Lepisosteus oculatus: one gene and its partners. The protein of the gene in region 3 interacts with the protein of the main gene of each other region in a pairwise test. Links are inferred from orthologs where the notes say so. Each region holds a gene or a part of one and is shown on either strand. Other genes may lie near its edges.

What was found.
Region 1: the proteins of prpf31 (region 3) and jakmip2 interact in binary tests that used the Homo sapiens proteins (3 or more experiments, as listed by UniProt). The two-hybrid records come from large-scale screens. The link is inferred for Lepisosteus oculatus from reciprocal best matches to the Homo sapiens genes PRPF31 and JAKMIP2.
Region 2: the proteins of prpf31 (region 3) and ssx2ipa interact in binary tests that used the Homo sapiens proteins (3 or more experiments, as listed by UniProt). The two-hybrid records come from large-scale screens. The link is inferred for Lepisosteus oculatus from reciprocal best matches to the Homo sapiens genes PRPF31 and SSX2IP.

The regions. Positions count from the first base shown.
Region 1 is NC_090706.1:26,813,123-26,816,875, forward strand, and holds the start of jakmip2 (janus kinase and microtubule-interacting protein 2), read right to left. Parts: upstream 2,226-3,753; 5' UTR 2,092-2,225; intron 1-2,091.
Region 2 is NC_090704.1:174,421-178,173, forward strand, and holds the start of ssx2ipa (synovial sarcoma, X breakpoint 2 interacting protein a), read right to left. Parts: upstream 2,291-3,753; 5' UTR 2,093-2,290; intron 1-2,092. UniProt on the Homo sapiens protein: Belongs to an adhesion system, which plays a role in the organization of homotypic, interneuronal and heterotypic cell-cell adherens junctions (AJs).
Region 3 is NC_090718.1:264,895-268,647, forward strand, and holds the start of prpf31 (U4/U6 small nuclear ribonucleoprotein Prp31), read right to left. Parts: upstream 2,752-3,753; 5' UTR 2,610-2,751; intron 2,473-2,609; coding exon 2,248-2,472; intron 2,077-2,247; coding exon 2,016-2,076; intron 1,934-2,015; coding exon 1,850-1,933; intron 1,709-1,849; coding exon 1,611-1,708; intron 1-1,610. UniProt on the Homo sapiens protein: Involved in pre-mRNA splicing as component of the spliceosome. Required for the assembly of the U4/U5/U6 tri-snRNP complex, one of the building blocks of the spliceosome.

The DNA of each region.
Region 1 (3,753 bases), on a different chromosome or scaffold from region 3:
TCTAACTCATTTGGCACTTCGGATCTCTTCCAGTTATTTCTTAAAACAAGCCAGGAATACTGGCTTTGACAGCATGGCTGGGTAGATTTTTCCACACTCCTAAAACCCTTTGGGTATAAAAGTTCTGTTTGCAGTTTTATGTATACTTCCATGTGATTTCCAGTTGTGTTGTCACTTCAGTTACAAGTAGATTAAGAGCCAGGGATTGTTCTTATCGGGGAAGGTGAGGGCATTTTGTCTTGTGCTCCTAAAACCTTCAGCTGAAATAGTGTACTCATGAGGGTTCCTAACACTGTGGCCAGAGTGAAGCATGTCACTTAAGGTTCTCCTTCATATCCAAATGGAGTAGCAAAAGAAATGAGTTTCACTCTCTCAGCTTGGCTCTCCACTATAGCTGCTGAGGGATGGGTGAACCTAATCTTGGGAGGCCAGTAAGTTTTAAAGTCTGCATTTCAGATCATAACCTACTGTATATCAGCTCATTGTTGGCTTAATGGGAACAGTTTCTGTCAGCTCTTCATGTGTTGGTGTTGTGAAGAGACCTATAAAGCTTGCAGACACACTGGCCCTCAAGCACCAGGCATGCCCAAGCCTGGTCATCTAACACACAGCGTGGATTCTAAAAAGGAACAAACAGCTGTGTGAAGCTGGACTGGTTTCTCAAAGGTAAGGAATATAGGGCAATATTAACATGAATATAAAAGAAACTGAAGCACATACAATAAAGTAAATGACAGCAAATGTGACAGCAGGATATCAAGATGGTCTCACAGAGCCAGTGTGGCTGACCACAGATGAACTGACACCTGAAACTCACATTTTTTTTTATTATTGGTTAAAGACAAACTTCCATCTTTATATTTCTAACACTGGCATCCATATGATGTGTATTTGCATGGTATACTGCTGTTGAATGTAAAATTAACAAATAGCAAAGTTAAAGTTATTACTTAGCTAAGAAAGAAGCAACTGCTTTTGGAGAATTCAACACAAAGTGTGTCAGGGAAAAAGATCATGAATCTGCACCAAAGTAAATAAAAATGGGGCGACTTTAATGGCCTGTTCTAAAATTACACTAGAAATACCATAACACTAAACACTTCATAGTTTCTACCATGTCTTATATTACAATACCATTTGCTTGAATGTCCTCTATTTCCATTTGCTTTCATACTGTATATCAAATTTTAGAATGATCCTAACAATAGTATCTAACAAATAGATCGCAAAAGTCAGAATCGACATAAATCTGGACTGGAGAAGAAAGTAAAGCATCCAAACAAACTGCACACAGCCATTGTAGAATAGGTGACATTTACTGAAACTTTATATCTCCAGTCTACTGAATTGTTACCGACAATGTGCCTAAATAAATGAGCCTTATCACAATTCTTAGTGAAATATATATGGTTGCATAAATTGGCACAAGAGAAGCCCCACTGTAATTAGGAGGATGGAAGAATTGACTCCATATATTCGCTTCATCAACCCCTATTACAGTACCTTTGCACAACTGGGAGGAAAGCCTCAAACATAAACAATGAAATACCGGTACTCGACAATTCAAATTAAATTAGGTAGCTGCCTACCCTAAGAGCATGTGGAACTCACTATTTAATAATAAATACTGTTCCCACTTTTAAATGGCCTGTGTAGTACTATTTCACTTTAAAACCAGCATCAGAAATGACTACCAAAGATGCACTTGTCGTTACCCAAAGGCTGATCTCAGCCTACTGCACAGGCCAAGCCTAGCCACATGAACGCTTAAACCAAACACACGTCTGTGTCATGACGATCGAATACTGTATTCTTTCTTAGTGCATGAAACGAAAAACAAAGCACCAGTGCCCGGAATTAGGAAAAACAAAACAAAAGATTACCGTTACTCGCTAATACATGACAACACAAATGAATCGGGTGGGAAAAAAATCCTCTATCCTATTATGACACGACGCCGGCTGTAAATACCTCTCCATTTCCACTGTACAGAGCATCACATCCCTGTTTTAATTCTGAACTGATGTAACGCTGATTCAAACCGTCAGATGCGGGTGTAAACAAATAACTAGAAAACGATACAATTCTTACCGTTTTATTAACCTCCAGAATGAATTAAGGCCTAGAATCCTTAAAGCTCTACCCATGGCTTTGATTTTTCTCCTTTCCCCCTGCACATCATCAGCAGCAGCTGTACCACAGCGCGATGAGGACGATGATGCTGTAAAAAAAACTCCGCCCTCCTCCTGTCTGTCAGAATGAGCTCATTGAATTTGCCAAGAAAACTGCAGTCTCCTTTTTTATCCCTCTTCTTGTTTTTTTTTTATCCGTTTTACTTTCTCCACTCTTTTCACTTTCCCCTCTCGTGGAGTCCACACCACTGTCACAGACCGCACAACGGGAAACGAGCAGACGCTCACAGAAGGTACGATCGGAAATAATATTAAGCCGCACGACTTTGTAGCTCATAGTACTGTACAATACACAGTATGTAGAGGAGAATCCCTTTTACAGCTCCTGGTTAAACGTTTCAGTCACAGCACTGTCGACACTTAAGTATTTATTTCGCCGTTTTCTTTTAAATAAATGAACATATTAAGAGATTTTTTCAAACTAGCCTTATTAACATTTAAGCATTGTGAAGCAAAAAGGTAAAGCACAGTGAGGTGGACACAGAGCGCCAACGGGGGTGGTGAAGGTGGAGCAGCGCCTGGGAGTGGGAGTACCGCACATACAGTAAAACACAAGCCAGGGCACCAGTAACTGAGGAACCGGCTCCTTCTCTCCTGCGGCGCACTGTTCCTTTCTAACATCTCAACAACGAAGGTTTCCATAGTAATCCGAGTGGTTTATCGGTCTCTCTTTAGGCTGTTTTGATTTTAAGATCACCAGTATTTATCTGGTGACAGTGCCAGGTTTTGTACAAGCAAAAATCAAATCGTAAATATTGTAGCTGTTAAAATATTGTAGCGGTCAGCCAGTCAGACAGGGAGAGTCTGAGGTGGTGTCACGCCCTCTGCGGCCAGAGGGCGCTCTTACTCTATCCAATTCTAATATAATACAAAAGTTCTTAAAAAGGGTGTTTGTCCTTTATCAATCACAGCAAGTGGATGCTGGGGCTGGATTCGCACAGTGAAAGAGGCCCTCCAAACTCTACCACTTGCAGTTGTCCTTGTCCTGCTCTGAAACTGCGGTTGTCCAGTCCTCTGCAGGAGCTCAAGGAGCAGGGATTTCCTCCTAAGTCCCTGTACAGGGCCCACAGTCCCTTCCAGCGCTCTTTTTAAGGATATGCTTACTTTAAAGTTTTATGAAATCGCTTGTGTTCTAATGTTATCCATCCATTTTCTAAACGCTTCTTCCAATTCAGATTTACAGGGGAGCTAGACCCTATCCTGGCAAGCAAGGGATGCAAGGCAAGATACACCCTGGATGGGGCGCCTGTCCATTGTGGGGCACACACAGACACAAACACAGATATAGACACACTCACACCTAGGGCCAATTTTTCCCAGAAACCAATTAACATAACTGTATGTTGTTGGGCTGTGGGAGGAAACCAGAGCACCCAGAGGTTACAGTGCTGTGAAAAAGTAAGTATGCCCCATGAAAATGTGTGATTTTCAAATATTTGCATGTATGGATATTTGATCTTCATTTCAACAATACTGATAGATAAAGGTGATCTAATATAACAAATAACAATGAATATGAATATTTTCAATCATTTATTCAACAGAAAAAAAGTCAGAAATG
Region 2 (3,753 bases), on a different chromosome or scaffold from region 3:
AACCTGTTTTGTCAGTACGTTAGCAAGACAGCACACAAAATGTGATATATGACTGATTTACAAGAAGAGGCAGAATTAAAATTCTTCTACATATTCTTAAATTGTTAAATGTAGCTTGAAGCTAGAAGTAAAAATAATTCAAATTTTTAATAATTCTGCAATTTTTTTTTAAATGCCATTGGCAATTTAAAATTACTTCATAAGCATTGTGCAGCTAATACATGTCTAGTTAGATCACACTTCTGCAAGTAGTGTAATATTTTTATTTGCCAAATACTACAGAGATTGAGGCACTTGCTCTAATAAAACAAAACAACTGAGAGAAGCATTGTAAAATGCAAGTTGTTTTACCATGTTACACATCGTAGATAACATTACAACTGGACATGACGCAACCATAGATTCGTGGCTCTCCCATCTACTTTAGTTTGTAATGAGAATATTATGAAAAGTAAAGAAGTCATCATAAAAATCTTAACCCTGCATCATTACTTTATAGCCTTTTTACTGCAAAGAATACATTACCACATTTATCAATTTTAATTGAAAATGATGTAAAAATGTTTTTAGTAATAAAAATCAGAACACAAATCTGAATTCTAACCAAATGATCTCCATTTGTTTCTTTCACAATGATTCAAAGATTCTTATGAAAGCAAAAGAAAGGACAAAATCACTTTTAGAGTGGACCAATATTTCCCCCAGCACACGGCAACAAAATTAACTCTATTCAAACCCTTTCAAGTAGGGAAATGTGAAAGGCACAGTTCCTTTTCGATTTTTGTCCCTCCTCTTACCAGAATTTCCAGTAACAATTTGCTGTGCCCCACTTCAGCTTTCCTACATGCACCATAACTAGAACAGTGTATTTTACGCTTAGCATGTAATTAAAATAGATTCTATCCTACTAACAATACAGCGGTAGGCAAGTGAGCTGGTGGGTGGATGTCTAGTTCATTTTATTTTCCAAAATAAAGTGTAAGATGGCACCATCTAGCATCCTACCACCTATAGCTGTAATAAAAAGCAAAACATACAGCTCGATTATTTATACAAAGTATTTACTGACAAATATATAAAAGTCATGCATCCCAAACTGTAGTTGGGCAAAAAAGTACTTCTCATGCATTATCACAAGTTGATATGAAAGGGTCAAGAACAATTCAGAAACCAGAACCAGAGTGAGCACAGTGGATAGAAACTTCATATACATAACAAAGGACATGTTCTACCGTTTCACCGGCAGCAGGCAACATGCCAATATTAAAAATGGTACCATCACAACAGGGAGTTAATAACAGACTTGCCAAGCCCCTGGTAGCTTGTGAAGCCTTCTGAAAAAAAAGTACACAAAATATGTAAATATTTTTAGAATTATCAATAGCAAGAAAAAAAGGTTTCTACCATTTAGTAAAGCGGCACTACATGATTCACATGATTAAAGTGTCTAGTCACGACACCAGTAAAAATATTCCCAAATACAGCAATACAAACCAATGGGAGTCATCAATATAGTCGCATAAAACAAAAACTGATTGAGAAATGTGCTCAAATTAAGTGAGAATCAGTGTAAACCGAGAAACAAAAAGCATGCTCGGGTATAACGTAAACAAAGAGAAATGTATAAAAAGATTAAATGTGATAGTAGTTAGACATTTCTAAAAGTTGACAATTATCATAATTTCAGTTCATGAAACCGGTTAGACCACAATTCACAAGTCAAAGCGGTCAAGACACAGGGCCGCTGGACTGCCACGGCTTGACCAGGACTGGAAAACAAAAATGCTGACCGTACGGAGCTGGTCGATTTTCTGTTGATTCAGAGGATTAGCTAAAGCCTAGCTTTTTTAACACGTTAACGTCCCAGTCATACAAATAAACTAGTTCAGAAATTTTTTATTCCAAGGAATCATAAATAAAATGCATTGAGGAAGCGAAATCAAATACGTAACACGGAAGGCAGTAAAACCTAAGCAATTGAATTATGCTCCTTAACACTTGACTACAAAATTATTATAAACACACAGCTATCTTATAGGCTCAGTTGCGTATTGGGCTGCAGAAGAGAAACGGGGTCTGAAAAGACACTCACTACATAACACCAGATGAACTCCTCTCCTAAGACACCGGCGTTCTCCAGAACACAGTAAACCTATAAATCCACTTCAGACAAGTCCCCAGCATCCAAGTAGGATATTTTAATCTCTTGATCACCAACAGCTGATACTACCAACCTCCCCCACTCTCTCAACAGGCGCAGGTTTGAAGCTTCCGACTCTCTGGCTCACCAACAAACGTTACGGTCATTGGCGAACCTGTTGCCAGGCAACCAGTACCTGCTCACAGTATTGGCTGACACCTGGGCTTTAATTACAGTCCCTGAGAAACCGGTGGGCGTGACATACAGGCATCAGCAGGTGCAAAACAGACCAGCCTTGCAAACCCATGCAGTTCGTTGTTTGATGGTTATTGGAAGTCAGCTTTTCATTTTCTCATATTTATTTCTTCATTATACGGCAATCGAAGGTTATGCATGGGTTTTGGTTGCGTTTACGCACTCTGCTCAGTTTTAGTTTACTAGGTACTAACACTAGATCCCAGAGCAAACTTTTTTTTTCTGTTTCCATGATTTACGTCAATGTACTGTATGCGTCGTCTCTAAAACCAGTTGTATTCTCGCGTCTTCCGGTACCTGAGGAGAAATCGCTTTTATTATATAACTTCAAAACATGGGCGGCTACATTTTCTGCAGCATTTTATACTACAATACCACAAAGAAATATTATCAGCATCAATAAATTACTCTTTAAACAAAACAAAAAAAATTACCTTCAAATGTTAACCCCTTAAATTTGCATTTTATACACATTTAGTTTGGCAATTCATGCTATAAAAGCTATTATTTACAACAGTTTTTTTATCATATAACAATGCTGTCGATATTTTATTGATTGCAGTACAAGAAATTTGATAATCAAAGTCTTTTTTTAGGACTCAAGGTAGGATAAAATATTACTAAGTACTGTGGCTAAGGATCTGTGCTTGTGACTGGAAGGTTGCCGGTTCAAATTTCACAGCCGGCAGAGGAATCCTACTCCGTTGGGCCCCTGAGCAAGGCCCTTAACCCCAACTGCTCCAGGGGCGCTGTACAATGGCTGACCCTGCGCTCTGACCCCCAGCTTCTCTCCCTGTCTGTGTCTCATGGAGAGCAAGCTGGGGTATGCGAAAAGACGAATTCCTAATGCAAGAAATGTATAGGGCTAATAAAGCAACATTAACATTAACATTAAGTACTATATTGTAATATTGAAAGAATCCACATTAATTTTTTAATTGTGGGAAAAATCACTGGAAACAAAATAAACTGTCATATTCACCTGAAGAAGGGTTCACAGCCAAAACATGTTTTCTCGCTTCTCTTTTCAGCAGGGAATAAACCTGTTGTTACTTTGCACAACGCATGCTGACGCAGCTGCCAACATGAACATATTCATATACTTACTAGTAGCAAAAATAATTGAACTGAATTGAATATATGAACTGATCAGAACACCCAGCTACTTGCTTTCAAACGCTTTAGTGTTATATAAGAGGCAGGTTTCTTTTCATACAATCATGGTTTAAAATTACTAAAAAGAGAAAGACAATTTATAGATGACTCTCAACAATAGCAATGTCATTAAAGTAGTCTGCTATTAGAATAAATGTGAGTCAATCATTGTCGAGAGTTGTTTGGGCACGAGACATAAGGTA
Region 3 (3,753 bases):
GATCACACTCGGTGATTACACTCATAAAAGCCCTACACACATAGGTCTGTAAAAACAACCTCCATGAACAGAAATTCTTTCCCAACTTTACAAATCTAATCCCAGAATTCCCACACCTGCCAGAAACACAAAAACTCCCAATCCTACTGGGAGGGGCAGGAGAGAACTCAGTTGAACTGGCAGCCCAGTGTGTGAGCTCCTGTCCCAGCCTGAGGAACAGACAGTGAGCCTGTCTCAATAATAATACAGTGTGTGAGCTCCTGTCCCAGCCTGAGGAACAGACAATGAGCCTGTCTCAATAATAATACAGTGTGTGAGCTCCTGTCCCAGCCTGAGGAACAGACAATGAGCCTGTCTCTCAATAATAATAATACAGTGTGTGACCTTCTTTCCAAGCCCGAGGAACAGACAGTGAGCCTGTCTCTCAATAATAATAATACAGTGTGTGACCTCCTGTCCCAGCCCGAGGAACAGACAGTGAGCCTGTCTCTCAATAATAATAATACAGTGTGTGACCTCCTGTCTCAGCCCGAGGAACAGACAGTGAGCCTGTCTCTCAATAATAATACAGTGTGTGACCTCCTGTCCCAGCCCGAGGAACAGACAGTGAGCCTGTCCCTCAATAATAATAATACAGTGTGTGACCTCCTTTTCTAAGCCCGAGGAACAGACAGTGAGCCTGTCTCTCAATAATAATACAGTGTGTGACCTCCTGTCCCAGCCCAAGGAACAGACAGTAAGCCTGTCTCTCAATAATAATAATACAGTGTGTGACCTCTTGTCCCAGCCCGAGGAATAGACAGTGAGCCTGTCTCTCAATAATAATACAGTGTGTGACCTCCTGTCCCTTGCTGAGGAAAAGACAGTGAGCCTGTCTCTCAATAATAATAATACAGTGTGTGACCTCCTGTCCCAGCCTGAGGAACAGACAGTGAGCCTGTCTCTCAATAATAATAATACAGTGTGTGACCTCCTGTCCCAGCCTGAGGAACAGACAGTGAGCCTGTCTCTCAATAATAATAATAATAATAATAATAATACAGTGTGTGACCTCCTGTCCCAGCCCAAGGAACAGACAGTAAGCCTGTCTCTCAATAATAATAATACAGTGTGTGACCTCTTGTCCCAGCCCGAGGAATAGACAGTGAGCCTGTCTCTCAATAATAATACAGTGTGTGACCTCCTGTCCCTTGCTGAGGAAAAGACAGTGAGCCTGTCTCTCAATAATAATACAGTGTGTGACCTCCTGTCCCAGCCTGAGGAACAGACAGTGAGCCTGTCTCTCAATAATAATAATACAGTGTGTGACCTCCTGTCCCAGCCTGAGGAACAGACAGTGAGCCTGTCTCTCAATAATAATAATACAGTGTGTGACCTCCTGTCCCAGCCTGAGGAACAGACAGTGAGCCTGTCTCTCAATAATAATAATAATAATAATAATAATAATAATAATAATAATAATAATACAGCGTGTGAACTCCTGTCCCAGCCTGAGGAACAGATAGTGAGCTGGTCACGCAGTTTAAGCTCAGGAATCTGAGACGTTAGCCAGGCCCAGATCAACAGCACCAGGGACTCCAGTCACAGTCAGTCAGGACTGAGGTTCCTACCCTGACAGTGCGGATGTAGTCCAGAGAGTTTGGCACAAGAGACTCCAGTTCTGGAAACCTCTTGGAGTACTTGTCTCGCACGAACTTGTGGATGATATCTGGGAGAAAGAGGAACAGCAGGACAGAGGGGGAGATGGTCAGTGTGGAAGAAAGGACCCACAGAGCGCACAGGACTGCGAACAGTGGGCACCCCTTTGTGCTGAGAGTCGTGGGAGGAAGGCTGCAGGCCGGACACTCACTGAGCTCGTTGTCGATCTCCACGGTCAGGTTGTTGGCGTCCACGATCAGCCTGTATTCCGGGTCGGCCTCCACCGGCCCAGAGACTGTGTGAGAGAGGGAGGGAGAGTCGGGTCAGAACAGACTTGCCAGCACAGCATCACGCCGGCGCCACCCACTCGCTCTTACCTTCTGAGGTCTTGCGCTGGTTACCAATGTACTGACTGATCTTCTCCATTATCTCTGCAAACTAGAAAGACAAAGAACAGAGGTATTTCACAGCACAAGTCACACCTCGTCAATCACAGCCTGAGAGACACTGAGCCCTGAACTGTCTTTCTCTCACACACAAACCGAGCCCTGAACTAACTGTCTCTCACACCGAGCAGTCTGCAGTCAGGCGGATACAGGCGGGACTCACCGACTTGCTGTGTCTCAGCTTGGCGATGGAGGTGACGCTCTCTGTGCCGCTGTAATCCACCTCCATCTCCTCCGGGATGTCAGCCAGCCCCCCCGGGCCTTCCGCCCCACCCTCCCCATCGCTGTCCGCTCCGTCGGCCCCCTCTGCCCCCGGGTACAGACCCGGCTCGTCGCCCTCGTCTCCAGCCTCCTCCAGGTCCGCCAGCAGCTCGTCCGCCAAAGACATCTGAGAGAGAGCAGAGCCCCAACAAACCCCTCATCTCATCAATCTTAAGAGACTCGGCTGAAACCGCAGAGTCCTCTACAGCAGCGCTCCGGGGACTGAAACACTCTCCGCCCCAGCGAAAGGAAGCGATCTCTTACCTCTTCCCCTTCTTTCTGCTTCTCGGGTGGTCAGATAAACAAACCAGGTCCGGAGATCTAAGCGAAAACAGTTCGAGCTTCACAGCTTCCAGCACACCGACCGCACAAACTGCGTCACCTCCCGTCGCCGGTTGATGACGTCACAGTCGCTCTCGCGTGGAGGCCTAAAAGAACGCGTTGTGCCCATGTGATTTCTCCAGGTTACGCAGCGTGAGATTAGTGACGTCTACTGCACTGGGACTGCAGCTCCTATTGTAACAGGACTGTTCTACTGCACTGGGACTGTAGCTCCTATTGTAACAGACTGTTCTACTGTACTGGGACTATAGCTCCTATTGTAACAGGACTGTTCTACTGCACTGGGACTGTAGCTCCTATTGTAACAGGACTGTTCTACTGCACTGGGACTGTAGCTCCTATTGTAACAGACTGTTCTACTGTACTGGGACTGTAGCTCCTATTGTAACAGGACTGTTGTACTGCACTGGGACTGTAGCTCCTGTTGGAACAAGACTGTTCTACTGCACTGGGACTGTAGCTCCTATTGTAACAGGACTGTTCTACTGCACTGGGACTGTAGCTCCTATTGTAACAGACTGTTCTACTGTACTGGGACTGTAGCTCCTATTGTAACAGGACTGTTCTACTGCACTGGGACTGTAGCTCCTACTGTAACAGGACTGCTCTACTGTACTGGGACTGTAGCTCCTATTGTAACAGGACTGTTGTACTGCACTGGGACTGTAGCTCCTGTTGTAACAAGACTGTTCTACTTCACTGGGACTGTAGCTCCTATTGTAACAAGATTGTTCTTCTGCACTGGGACTGTAGCTCCTGTTGTAACAAGACTGTTCTATTGCACTGGGACTGAAGCTCTTATTGTAACAGACTGTTCTACTGCACTGGGACTGTAGCTCCTATTGTAACAGGACTGTTCTACTGCACTGGGACTGTAGCTCCTACTGTAACAGGACTGCTCTACTGTACTGGGACTGTAGCTCCTATTGTAACAGGACTGTTCTACTGTACTGGGACTGAAGCTCTTATTGTAACAGACTGTTCTACTGCACTGGGACTGTAGCTCCTATTGTACAGGACACTGAGTCTAAGAACATAAATGAGAGTCTAGAGATGTTTTAATAGA